Ovis aries: one gene and its partners. The protein of the gene in region 2 interacts with the protein of the main gene of each other region in a biochemical or structural test. Links are inferred from orthologs where the notes say so. Each region holds a gene or a part of one and is shown on either strand. Other genes may lie near its edges.

What was found. The genes of interacting proteins can lie anywhere in the genome.
Region 1: the proteins of TNKS (region 2) and AXIN1 form a complex in vitro, tested with the Homo sapiens proteins (2 studies listed by BioGRID). The link is inferred for Ovis aries from reciprocal best matches to the Homo sapiens genes TNKS and AXIN1.
Region 3: the proteins of TNKS (region 2) and TNKS1BP1 form a complex in vitro, tested with the Homo sapiens proteins (2 studies listed by BioGRID). The link is inferred for Ovis aries from reciprocal best matches to the Homo sapiens genes TNKS and TNKS1BP1.

What each region holds. Positions count from the first base shown.
Region 1 is NC_056077.1:848,012-851,807, reverse strand, and holds part of AXIN1 (axin-1), read left to right. Parts: intron 1-125; coding exon 126-296; intron 297-3,033; coding exon 3,034-3,279; intron 3,280-3,796. UniProt on the Homo sapiens protein: Component of the beta-catenin destruction complex required for regulating CTNNB1 levels through phosphorylation and ubiquitination, and modulating Wnt-signaling.
Region 2 is NC_056079.1:24,652,483-24,656,915, forward strand, and holds the start of TNKS (poly [ADP-ribose] polymerase tankyrase-1), read left to right. Parts: upstream 1-1,592; 5' UTR 1,593-1,620; coding exon 1,621-2,293; intron 2,294-4,433.
Region 3 is NC_056068.1:79,332,921-79,336,716, reverse strand, and holds part of TNKS1BP1 (182 kDa tankyrase-1-binding protein), read left to right. Parts: intron 1-1,365; coding exon 1,366-1,708; intron 1,709-1,884; coding exon 1,885-2,035; intron 2,036-2,134; coding exon 2,135-2,262; intron 2,263-2,869; coding exon 2,870-3,024; intron 3,025-3,180; coding exon 3,181-3,241; 3' UTR 3,242-3,253; intron 3,254-3,796.

The sequences.
Region 1 (3,796 bases), on a different chromosome or scaffold from region 2:
GTGTGGCCAAGGCCCCATGCGCAGGCAGGGCCCTTGCAGGCTGTTCTCCCCAGCCCCGAGGGTCCTGGCCAGCTGTCCAGCCTGGGCCGGCTGAAGTAGCAAGTGACCAGGCCTTGCTCTTGCAGCGGGAAGGCGGGCACGACCTCCAAGAGAAACTCCAAGAAGGCGGAGCTGGGCAAGAGCAGCAGCACAGAGGCGCCAGGCCCGGCTGAGGACGCGGAGAAGAACCAGAAGATCCTGCAGTGGATCATCGAGGGCGAGAAGGAGATCAGCCGGCACCGGAAGGCGGGCCACGGGTGAGGGCCCCGGCCGGGCCTCCCCCACCCCAGCGCCGAGTCCCCCAGTCCCGGCTCCGAGTCCCCCTCCCCCGGCCGAGTCCCCCAGTCCCGGCTCCGAGTCCCCCTCCCCCGGCCGAGTCCCCCAGTCCCGGCTCCGAGTCCCCCTCCCCCGGCCGAGTCCCCCAGTCCCAGTTCTGAGTCCTCCACCCCAGCTGAGCCCCCCAATCCCAGCTCCAAGCCCTCCCCCGGCCGAGTCCCCCACCCCAGCCGAGCCCTCCCCCGGCCGAGTCCCCCACCCCGGCCGAGTCCCCCAGTCCCAGCTCCGAGCCCTTCCCTGGCCGAGCCTCCCCCACCCCGGCTCCGAGTCCCCCAATCCCAGCTCCGAGCCCTTCCCTGGCCGAGCCTCCCCCACCCCGGCCGAGTCCCCCAGTCCCAGCTCTGAGTCCTCCCCTCCCCCCCCCGGCCGAGTCCCCCACCCCTGGCTCCGAGTCCCCCAGTCCCAGCTCCAAGCCCTCCCCCGGCTGAGTCCCCCACCCCCGGCTCCGAGTCCCCCAGTCCCAGCTCTGAGTCCTCCCCTCCCCCGTGGCTCTGAGTCCCCCACCCCCGGCTCCGAGTCCTCCCCCGGCCGAGTCCCCCACCCCCAGCCGAGGCCTCCCCCGGCCGAGTCCCCCACCCCCAGCCGAGTCCTCCCCTGGCCGAGTCCCCCACCCCTGGCTCCGAGTCCCCCAGTCCCAGCTCCGAGTCCTCCCCTCCCCCCTGGCTCTGAGTCCTCCCCTCGCCCTGGCTCTGAGTCCTCCCCGTCCTGGGCTCTGAGTCCCCCACCCCCAGCTCTGAGTCCTCCCCTCCCCCATGGCTCTGAGCCCCCTTCCCCCTGGCTCTGAATCCTCCCACCCTCAGCTCTGAGTCCTACCCCCTGGCTCTGAGTCCTCCCCTCACCCCGGCTCTGAGTCCTCCCCTCACCCCGGCTCTGAGTCCCCCAGCCCCCCAGTTCTGAGTCCCCCCACCCCTGGCTCTGATTCCTTTCGCCCCCGGCTCTGAGTCCCTCACCCCCCAGCTCTGAGTCCCCCCACCCCAGCTCTGAGTCCTCCCCCCGAGCTCTGAGTCCCCCCCACCCCCGAGTTCTCCTCCCCACCGGCTCTTGAGTCCCTGTCCCCCCAACTCTGTTCCCCACCTCTAGCTCTGAGTCCTCCCACCCTGGCTCTGAATCCCCCCCCCCCCGGCTCTGAGTCCCCCTCCCCCTGGCTCTGAATCCCCCTCCCCCTGGCTCTGAGTCCCCCTCCCCCCGGCTCTGAGTCCCCCTCCCCCCGGCTCTGAGTCCCCCTCCCCCCGGCTCTGAGTCCCTGCCAGCTCTAGAGCCTGCTATCAGCGCCAGGCAGCAATTTGTGCAGGCCATGTGCCCGTGGGACCAGGGCCAGCCCATGGCAGCGTGAGGTCAACCCTTCGTGTGTGGGCCCTGTGACGGGGTGGGCATTGGTGACAACGTCAGTGTCCCGGGCAGGAATGCCCACTGGTGGGGTCAGCTGCTGCAGCCCCACTGGGCAGGATCCTACAGCCCTGTGGCTGCCGCTCCAGGAGGAGCCTCTGAGCTGGCCTCCTTGACCCCAGCTGCCAGAGAACATGCCTCTGCCCCGGGCCCCCGCTCCGTGTCAGCTTCAGTGTCCCCGTCCTGTCCGTGGTGGGGCGGGACGGGCAGGAGCCTGGGCTTCGGGGCCAGGCGTGGGCTCCCTGGTCCTGCGCTCTTGGGTCCAGACCCTCCACACTCACAAACCCTGTCCCGGTGGCTCGCTGCTTGGCCGTTGGCCCCCCCGCAGCTGGAGGGTTTCTGTGGGAAGATGAGCCCGGAAGCAGTGTCCTGGGTGCGCTGTGGGCTCCATCGTGCAGGCCTTTCTGGGGTCTATGGACCTGGGGGCAGGGCACAGAGCAGGGAGTGAGGAGGTGGGGGCCTCATGGGTCCTAGGAGGAGTCCACCTCCCCATGGGGCAGGTCACATCACACTGGCGCTGAGTCAGCCCTCTCCCCCGGGGTGCCATTCCTGGGATTCCCTCATTTTGCTCCTGGGGACACGCCCCCCTTCTGAAGCCTCTAGTCCAGCTGAGAGAGGCAGTGTTTCCACTCGAATTCCATGCAGTGGTTGAGTGATGGCAGGTCACGCAGACGTAAAGGCTCTTGGTGTCTGATGGCGGGGACGGTGGCATCATGTGGAGGAAAGGCAGGAAACAGCGCGTGATCAGAATTCTGCCAACCGTGGCAGGTGCTCTCAGTGGGGAAGGAAGCGCGCGGAACGCACTGAGTGGCTGTCGCTGAATCATGTTTATTTTTTTCTTAGAATTTCATGAACGTTTCAAGTTTTTCACAAAAAGAAAACTTATTTATTTGTATTTTTAAAGGAATGATGAAAGTTAAGCTTTTGTTTGTTTGGCTGCCCTGGGTCTTGGTTGGGGCATGTGAGAGCAAGTTCTCTGACGAGGGATCAAACCCAGGCCCCTGCATTGGGGGCTGGGAGTCTTAGCCATCCGACCTCCAGGAGGTCCCAAGAACACTTATTCTAATATCAAAATACTTTTCAAAAACAAAAAATCTTTATGTAAAAGAACACTTCGTGGGGAAACATTAAGAAAATGTCCACATAGGGTATGGTTTACATTTCAGAAAGCGATGAGCACGGTGCAGAGCAGGTCTCCAGAAAGGCTGTGCATCAGGGGTAGGGGTTGTGCAGGGCCTGGGCGCGGCTCACCTGCTTCTCTTGCCCCCGAAGGTCGTCCGGGGCTAAGAAGCAGCAGGCCCACGAGAGCTCCAGGCCCCTGTCCATTGAGCGCCCCGGGGCCGTGCACCCCTGGGTCAGCGCCCAGCTCCGGAGTTCGGTGCAGCCATCGCATCTCTTCATTCAAGACCCCACGATGCCGCCCAACCCCGCCCCCAACCCCCTGACGCAGCTGGAGGAGGCACGCCGGCGCCTGGAGGAGGAGGAGAAGAGGGCCAGCAAGGCGCCCTCGAAGCAGAGGTGCGTGGTCCTCGCAGCATCCGTCCGGGGCGGGAGCCCTTCTGCGCCTTGGCTGGCCTGCGGCTGCGCTCAGGGTGCCGGTGCGGCCCACCGCGTCTGCGAAGGGGCCTGGTGTTCCCAGCCACGCGGGGGAGCCCTGGCGCCTCGCTCTCGGTGCTGAGAGCCCAGCCCCGCGGCCCTCCTCGCGGCGCCCTGTGTGGCTGTCAGGGCTGGTGCGGCCCTTCGTGGGGCAGGCCGTCCCTCCACGCTGGACCCTGGCCCCGGGGCCTTTGCGGTCACTTTCCCGGGCGTGCCAGCCACTCTGGACTCCAAGGTGGTCCGGGCTCTGAGGGCCTGGAGACAGGAGTGTGGTTGCCGGATGGCGGCACCGTCCCGGGTGTTACTAGTCCCCGTGTCCCATCTTCAGTCAGCTGGGCTCCTGGGGCCGGGCCTCGCTGCAGAGTCCATGCTGCTCTGGGGAAGCCAGCGCCCGGGTGCAGACCTGCCCCAGCCTGCCGCCCCACGGGAGGCCCTTGCG
Region 2 (4,433 bases):
CCAGCATCAGAGTCTTTTCCAATGAGTCAACTCTTCGCATGAGGTGGCCAAAGTACTGGAGTTTCAGCTTTAGCATCATTCCTTCCAAAGAACACCCAGGACTGATCTCCTTTAGAATGGACCGGTTGGATCTCCTTGCAGTCCAAGGGACTCTCAAGAGTCTTCTCCAACACCACAGTTTAAATGCATCAATTCATCAGCGCTCAGTTTTCTTCACAGTCCAACTCTTGCATCCATACATGACCACTGGAAAAACCATAGCCTTGACTAGACAGACCTTTGTTGGCAAAGTAATGTTTCTACTTTTAAAGAAGAAGCAGGAAATGGAGACCTTAATGTGATGATCCAAATCATTGATACATTTCTTTTGAAGGTAGACAATAAAAAAAGGAAGGTATAGGCAGAGGAAAGAGAAAGAATTTGCTGAAGAATGGCTTCTGAAGGTGAGTGATGGGTGCAGCAAGCTGGTTTTTTATCTTAGTTGGGGAACGAGAGGGAAGAAGGATGAGAGGAATAGAGAAGGTCAGCTAAAAAGAATTTAAAAGAAAGGAACATGTTTGTAATTATTTCAGTCAAGTTTAAGGTGAGAAATGAAAGCACAGAGATAACAGAATAGAAAAAAACCACATAATTTTAGTAGTTAACATTTATTGAACTATTAATTCTATTTTGCAGAGGGGAACCTAAGACACAGAGGGGTTAAATAGCTTGCCCAAATCTACACAGCTCGTTCTTGGCAGAGCCTGAATTTCAATCCTTGCAATCCGAACTTCTATTTTAAAATGAAGTACTTAACGAAGCACATAAAGTGAGAACTCTCATAGAGAGGTGATATAGAGACCAAGGGATTAACTGGGAGGGGGAGAAGGCCGCATTAAAAAACTTTTTTTTTAACCAGTGGGCTAATTATATGTGTTGTATGTTAGTCGCTCAGTCGTGTCCGACTCTTTGCGACCCCATGGACTGTAGCCCACCAGGCCTCCTCTGTCCATGAGATTCTCCCGGCAAGAATACTGGAGTGGGTTGCCATTCCCTTCTCTAGGGGATCTTTCTGACCCAGGAATCGAACCTGTCTCCTGCACTGCAGGCAGATCTTTACCATCTGAGCCACAAGGGAAGCAGACAGAACACTTTGTATATGCTAGCTCATTTAATTCCACTAACAATTCTGTTCGATAGATACTAGCTCAGTTTTCAGACAGGGGCACTTGACATTTGATAAACGACACATACCTTGCACAGAGTTCCATCTCAATAGCAGGTTCTGCAGCAAGACAAGGAAGACTGAAGGAGACTTGGCAACAGAACGGAACAGGGCAAGGTAAGCAGGTTCAAAATGAGAAATGCAGGAAAAGTTTCTCACTTAAGTCTAGGCTAGTTCGTTTTCAAATCTCTCCCGTCAGCCCGCGAAGGCGTCACAAAGCCCGCCCCTCGGAGGCGAGGCCACGCCCCCTTCCGCGGAGGGGCTCGGAGCTCCCAAGACTTCCCTCCCACCCTTTGACCCCGCCCACTCCTCCCAGCATCATTTCCTGTGCGCTGGGCGCTAATTGGCCCGGCAGTCGGAAGTGAGGGCGGGCGGTGGGGCCGTTGCCGCAGTGACAGAGCTGGGGGAGTCCGAAGATGGCGGCGTCGCGTCGCTCTCAGCATCATCACCACCATCATCAACAACAGCTCCAGCCCGCCCCAGGGGCTTCGGCGCCGCCGCCGCCACCTCCCCCCCCACTCAGCCCGGGCCTGGCCCCTGGGACCACCCCGGCCTCCCCTACGGTGGGCGGCCTGGCTCCGTTCGCCTCCCCGAGGCACGGCCTAGCGCTGCCGGAGGGGGATGGCAGTCGGGATCCGCCCGACAGGCCCCGATCCCCGGACCCGGTTGACAGTGCCAGCTGTTGCAGTCCCACGAGCACAATCTGTACGGTTGCCGCCGCTCCTGTGGTCCCGGCGGTTTCTGCCTCATCTGCCGTCGGGGTCGCTCCCAACCCAGCCGGCGGCGGCAGTAACAATTCACCGTCGTCCTCTTCTTCCCCGACTTCTTCCTCCTCTTCCTCTCCATCCTCCCCCGGATCGAGCTTGGCGGAGAGCCCCGAGGCGGCCGGAGTTAGCACCACAGCACCATTGGGGCCTGGGGCTGCGGGCCCTGGGCCAGGGGTCCCAGCAGTGAGCGGGGCCCTGCGGGAACTGCTGGAGGCCTGTCGCAATGGGGACGTGTCCCGGGTAAAGAGACTGGTGGACGCGGCAAACGTGAATGCTAAGGACATGGCCGGCCGGAAGTCTTCTCCCCTGCACTTCGCTGCAGGTCAGAGACTTTTTGAATTGTTTATTAAGGGTTTTGGTGTTTGGCACTGGGGTCCGGGTAGGGAAAGAAAACGAATTATGATGATGGGAACGATGGGGGCGTGGTGATGATGCCTCAGTACTTCTCGGGAAGCCTTGAGGTTCCTTTTTTTAGGTGGTGCCAGGGTGACGGGGGCGTGGTAGGGGAACGTGTGAGTCCCTTTTTAGTTTGCACAGTGATCCTCGTTCTCATCCCCTGCCTCCCTTAGTGGTCGTCTCAGGACATGGATATACTTAAACTTTTTCAGTTCCGAGTGTGTCGGAATAAAATTAGATCTGAGTAGTGTTAGAGTAGTTTTGTCGTGTGTTGGCTCATTTCCTTTTTACAGGAGTAATGTCGCATGACAAACTAGACCAAGAGAAGTTTAATAAAACTCAACAAGTGTTAAGTAGCTATCGTAACCTTATAATTAATATAAGAGACTTAAATGAAGTTAGTGAAACTTTCTCCCCTTTTGAGGTAGTGTACAGTCCGATTGGGCAGATCAAAATGTTCCTATGTGAAACAACTGGAGAAGAATATTTGGATGCATTATGTGATGGCAGAAGAAAAGGCTTTGAAGTTCTGGCAACTGCTGTCTGTTGCTTGTGTAACAGATAATTTACCTTGTCTCAGTAGCCTCCATCTCCTCATGGGCAAAAATGTATATGGGGATTGTGTGAGGATTTCCTGAGAGGTATCTGGGACCTAAGTTCTCCCGCGAAAATACTTATTCTTAAAACCTGGACCACTGCACACTTTTTTTTTTTTAAAGCAAGTAATTATTATCTTTTAAAAACAGATAGTATGTTTTTATCTAAACTACAGGGAAATTTAAAAAAGGATCATAATCTCATTGCCTAGATACCTCCTATTGACATTAAAAAAATAAAGATGATAAGGTTATATACCTTAGAAATGTTACATTAGAAATGTATATATTGTATGTACATTCATATAGTACAGAAATAAATGAAAAAGCGTCACACATAAACATCAAAGATCATACTCTGAAGATAACTTCTGTTAAGTTTCATGCTTTATTTCTAATATATACCACTCTTTGAGTTTGTTCTGTTAATGTAAAGCATATGTTGAGAACTTAATGTATTGTTTATCAGAACTCGGAAAATATTTTTATCCTCATTTACAGATGACAAAAGTGAAGCGTGTACAGCTTAGATAATCCTAAATTCACATAAGAAGTAGTGGAACCTGAATTTAAACTTAGTTTGATTTTGGAATGTGTGAAGTCCAGGTTAAACAATTATACTTGGTTTAAGATCACTTTTCAATTTGTGGGTAATTTTTATGGAGTTTTCACTTTGGCAGTGTTTGGGGAGAAGAAGTAATTGGGGGCATATATACTCCAAGAGTAGTGTTCACACATTTTTTTTTTTTGCAGCCCATACTTAGCAATAAATTTTATGTTGTAACATGCAGAGTGAATCAAAAGTTTCAGTAAACAGTTCTTTGCCTTGCTACATGTGTTGTACTCTGATATTTTATATCCTAATCCATTTCCTGTCTTGCAAATGCTGTTTGTGATCCCATTAATGAGTCATGGTCAGCAATGTGAGAAATACAGGAAATCATTATTAGATCGCTGGGAATGTGGACGCTACTGTTAGGAAAGATTGAGGGCAGGAGGAGAATGGGGCGACAGAGGGTGAGAGGGTTGGATGGCATCATCGACACAATAGACTTGAGTTTGAGCAGACTCCAGGAAATAGTGAAGGACAAGGAAGCCTGACATGCTGCAGTCTATAGGGTCGCAAAGAGTCAGACATGGCTTAGCAGCTGAACAACAACTATTAGGAATGTAGTGAATTGAATCAAAATCAGGCTCCCATTTAAGTAGACAGATGCTCACAAGTGTTGCTTACTTTAGATGAAATAATTTCTTTTTTTTAGGCAGGATGAAAGATCTGTAATAAATAAAGCAAGACTGCCTTTGTAAACTTTGTTCCAAATTTGACTATTATAACATGTTGTTTCACAAATCTTGTCATTTTTCATCATACTGCATTGTAAGTAATCACTTGCAGATATTACATTAATTTTTGTAATATTTAGAATTAGTTGCACACAAAATAGTGCTTATCTCCCAAGTCACATCTTC
Region 3 (3,796 bases), on a different chromosome or scaffold from region 2:
TGTGTGTGTGCAGTGTGTGTGTGTGTGTCTCGGGTGTGGCTCTGTGGTGCTGTGCGTGTGTGTGTGTGTGTGTGTCTCGGGTGTGGCTCTGCGGTGCTTGTGTGTGTGTGTACAGTGTGTGTCTGTGTGTGTGTCTCGGGTGTGGCTCTGTGGTGCTGTGCGTGTGTGTGTGTGTGTGTGTCTCGGGTGTGGCTCTGTGGTGCTGTGCGTGTGTGTGTGTGTGTCTTGGGTGTGGCTCTGCGGTGCTTGTGCATGTGTGTGTCCCGTGTGTGTGTGTGTGTGTCTCGGGTGTGGCTCTGCGGTGCTGTGCATGTGTGTGTACAGTGTGTGTGCGTGTCTCTGTGTTGGGTGTGGCTCTGTGGCGCTTGTGTCAGTGTGTGGAAGGAGTGACCGGTGATCTGTGCCCACTTCCCCACAGGAGACGGGCCGTGAGTGTGTGCATGTGTGTCTGTCTTGGGGGCAAGCAGGCAGCTGGGCCACACACAGGCTCCCGGGTGCAGAGCGTGAGCCGCAGAGCGCGCTGTGCATGCCGGATGGTATGGGTCGTGTCTCGAGGGTGCAGCGGGCAGGAGACGCAGCTTGGGCCCAAAGGTGGCGTCCCTGCCTCCAGGCAGACCTCAGCTCTGTCCCAGGCCCTGGGCCACGCGGGGACGCAGGCGGCTGCGTCCTCGAGTTGCTGGCCGACGGGCCGTGGGGATAGAGCACCTGGACTTGAGGCGGGGCTGGCAGCTCGTGCCCAGGGTGTGCTGGGCGAGGGGCGGGCCCGGGGGCTCCCCAGGGGGGATCCAGGCTGACTGAGGGCGCGGGGGCACCTGCCGGGCAGAAGCAGCTTGTCAAGCGCCATCGGGTACGCGGCGGTCCGCGAGGGCCGTGTGTGTAGAGGCGTGCAGGGACGGTGAGCTGGAGGGCGGGGGTGGGGCTCGGCAGGCGGTCCGCAGCCCGGGAGGGCCAGCGTCCACAGCGTTGGCAGCGGTCGGATCCCTTTGGTGGGCATGCCCCCCCGCGCGGCTCTGTGCGAGGTGTTAGTCTCAATCCACGCTTGCAGAGACTCTCCTTAGAAGACTCTAAGGCTCTTGGGGTCCCCTGTGCGCAGCTCTGTGCGAGGTGTTCAGAGCCTCACTCTGTGCCCCCGGTGACCCTGTAGTTAGCAGACCCCTTGGGGGTGAAGGGACTCCCCCATCGTCTCAGGAAGCGGGGAGCCTGGCGTTTGAACACGCCGGGCTGGCCCAGCTTGCTCCCTGTGTACAGTCCGGAGGGAGGCATGGATGGCCTGCAGGGAAACAGGCTGAGAAAGGCTCTCTGCGCGGGGGGCTTTGGGCGAGCCCGCAGCCTCGCATGACCTCGGCCTCTGCTCTGTCCCCGCAGCCCTGGTGATTACCTGGCCCGCTCCCCACCCAGGGGCTCCCAAGGCCAGCCAGGGGAGAGGCTGGCTGCCCACAGCCCCGAGGCCCTGGCCCTGCAGGAGTTGGCATCCCCGGGGCCCAGGACCCTGTCGGAGGAGGAAGGGGCCGCAGCAGGTGCGGACCGAGTGGAGCCCTGGGAGCCCGGCCGGGACCCCCTGCCTTCCTGGAGGCTGCAGCCGGATGGGGAGGCCAGCTGGACAGACGCGGTCGACAGCACCCAGGATGCCGCAGGGGCCAGGCAGGGCGAGCAGACCCCCCAGGGCCTGCCGGCCAGTACCCCCAGCCAGGATTTCTCCTTCATCGAGGTCAGTGGGTGGGCTGTTGTCAGGATGCAGGTGGAAGGGGTGTATAGGTGCTGCAGCTTGGGTCTCACCTCGGGACCTCCCTCTTGGTGGGGTGGTCTCAGCCTGGGGGGTGGGAAGCTGGGACAGGGCGGCTGCGCGAAGGTGATGGCAGTGGTGTGTACCCCCAACCCCTGCAGGACACCGAGATCCTCGACAGCGCCATGTACCGGAGCCGTGCCAACCTGGGGCGCAAGCGTGGGCACCGTGCCCCGGCCATCCGGCCCGGGGGCACGCTGGGCCTGTCGGAGGCTGCAGCGTCGGACGCGAGGCTGTTCCAAGACTCCACAGGTAGGGCCAGGCTGTCCTGACGACCTTCATGTCGCTGTCCCGTGGGCGGGGGGTCTGGGGTCGCCGCCCCGTACTGAGACCCTGCCTGGGTCCTTGCAGAGCCACGGGCTTCGCAGGCGCCGTCCTCGGACGAGGAGGTGGTCGAGGAGCCTCAGAACCGCAGGACACGGGTGACCAAGGGCCTGAAAGTCAGCCTGTTTCCTGGCCTGAGCCCATCGGCCCTGAAGGTACCCTCTGGCTGTGCCGCCCTCTGGTGTCCAGCCTGCCCTCTGTCTGTCTGTCTGTTCGTCTAAGCTCCGAAACCCTGTCCGTTCTCTGCGCCTGCTGTGCCCGTGGTGGGCGCGAGGCGGGATGGAGAGAAGAACACGAAGGGTCTGGGTCCCAGAACCCCACGGGCTGGCAGGGCGACCGCGGTACAGCGGGGTGGAGGTTTAGGCGTCCTGGGGGTGCGGGGCTGGGGCAGGCTGCTCAGAGGGAGGTGGGAAGCGGGGTGCGGGACTCGGGGAGACCTCCGGTGACCGTAGTGTGTGTGGTGGGGAGATGTTGCAGGCAGAGGGCACAGGGCGTGCAGACCCCGGGGGCGTCCCCGCTGGCTCCGTCCAGGCCGCTTGGGCTGGATTCAGGTCAGCAGTGTCTCCCCGAGGGCCTGCGGGGTGCCAGGCACAGCCCGCCCTCGGGGGAGGTCATCGCTAAGCGACTTCCCCTCCCCAGGGTAAGAGGGCTGTGGAGGGCGTTGGGGTCTGGGCCGGGGACCCTGCGCTCTGGGGAGAAGGCCTGGCCCTCTCTGCCGTCACCGGCCCCGCTGACGTCCATCCGCTCCCGGCTTCCTCTCAGGCCAAGCTGCGCTCGCGGAACCGCTCGGCTGACGAGGGGGAGCCCTCAGAGGGCAAGGCGGGCCAGAAGGAGCTGATGCAGCGCTCCAAGTCCTGCAAGGGCCCCGGGCTGGGCAAGCCCCACGCGCTCCCACCCAAGCCAGACAAGTCCTCAGGGTAGGTGATCTGCGTGCCGGGAACTACCCATCTCAGTCTTAAGAGGAAAACCCTGCTTTACAGGGAGACTTGGGGGGGGGGGGGTGTCGTGCCACAGGTCGGCACTCTTCGCTTGGTGCCAGGGTGCTGGTCTGACTTCTGCCCCCTGCCTTCTAGGTCCGAAGGATCATCGCCCAACTGGCTGCAAGCCCTGAAGTTGAAAAAGAAGAAGGTCTAAGAAGTCGTTGAGGTGCGGGCAGGAGCTGGGCTTGACCTGTCTGGGGCTGGGGGCTGGTTCAGGGCTGCTGGGGGCCCTGCCCCGAGGCCTCCGGAGGCCCCAGACCTGCTTTTATGGCCCTCCTCTGCAAGGCTGGAGGAGGGATAGGCTACCCACTGCAGTATTCTTGGGCTTCCCTGGTGGCTCAGCTGGTAAAGAGTTGCCTGCAATTGGGAGACTTGGGTTCCATTCCTGGGTTGGGAAGACCCCCCTGGAGAAGGAAATGGTTACCCACTCCAGTATTCTTGCCTGGAGAACCCCATGGACAGAGGAGCCTGGCGGGTTGCAGTCCATAGGGTTGCAAAGAGTCGGATACAACTGAGCCACTAACATTCCGAGGCTGGAAGCAGATGGCTAAGGCCAAGCTCCAGAGTCCTGGGTCTCTCGGCTTGGGGGCGTCCACCCCGCCTTCCTCCTGAGGCTCAAGGATGGTGGCCTGAGTGTGGTCCGCCTGCCCCTCTGGTCTGGCACCCCTGGGGAGCACTCACTAGGCTGGAGGTCCCCAGCAGGACCTTC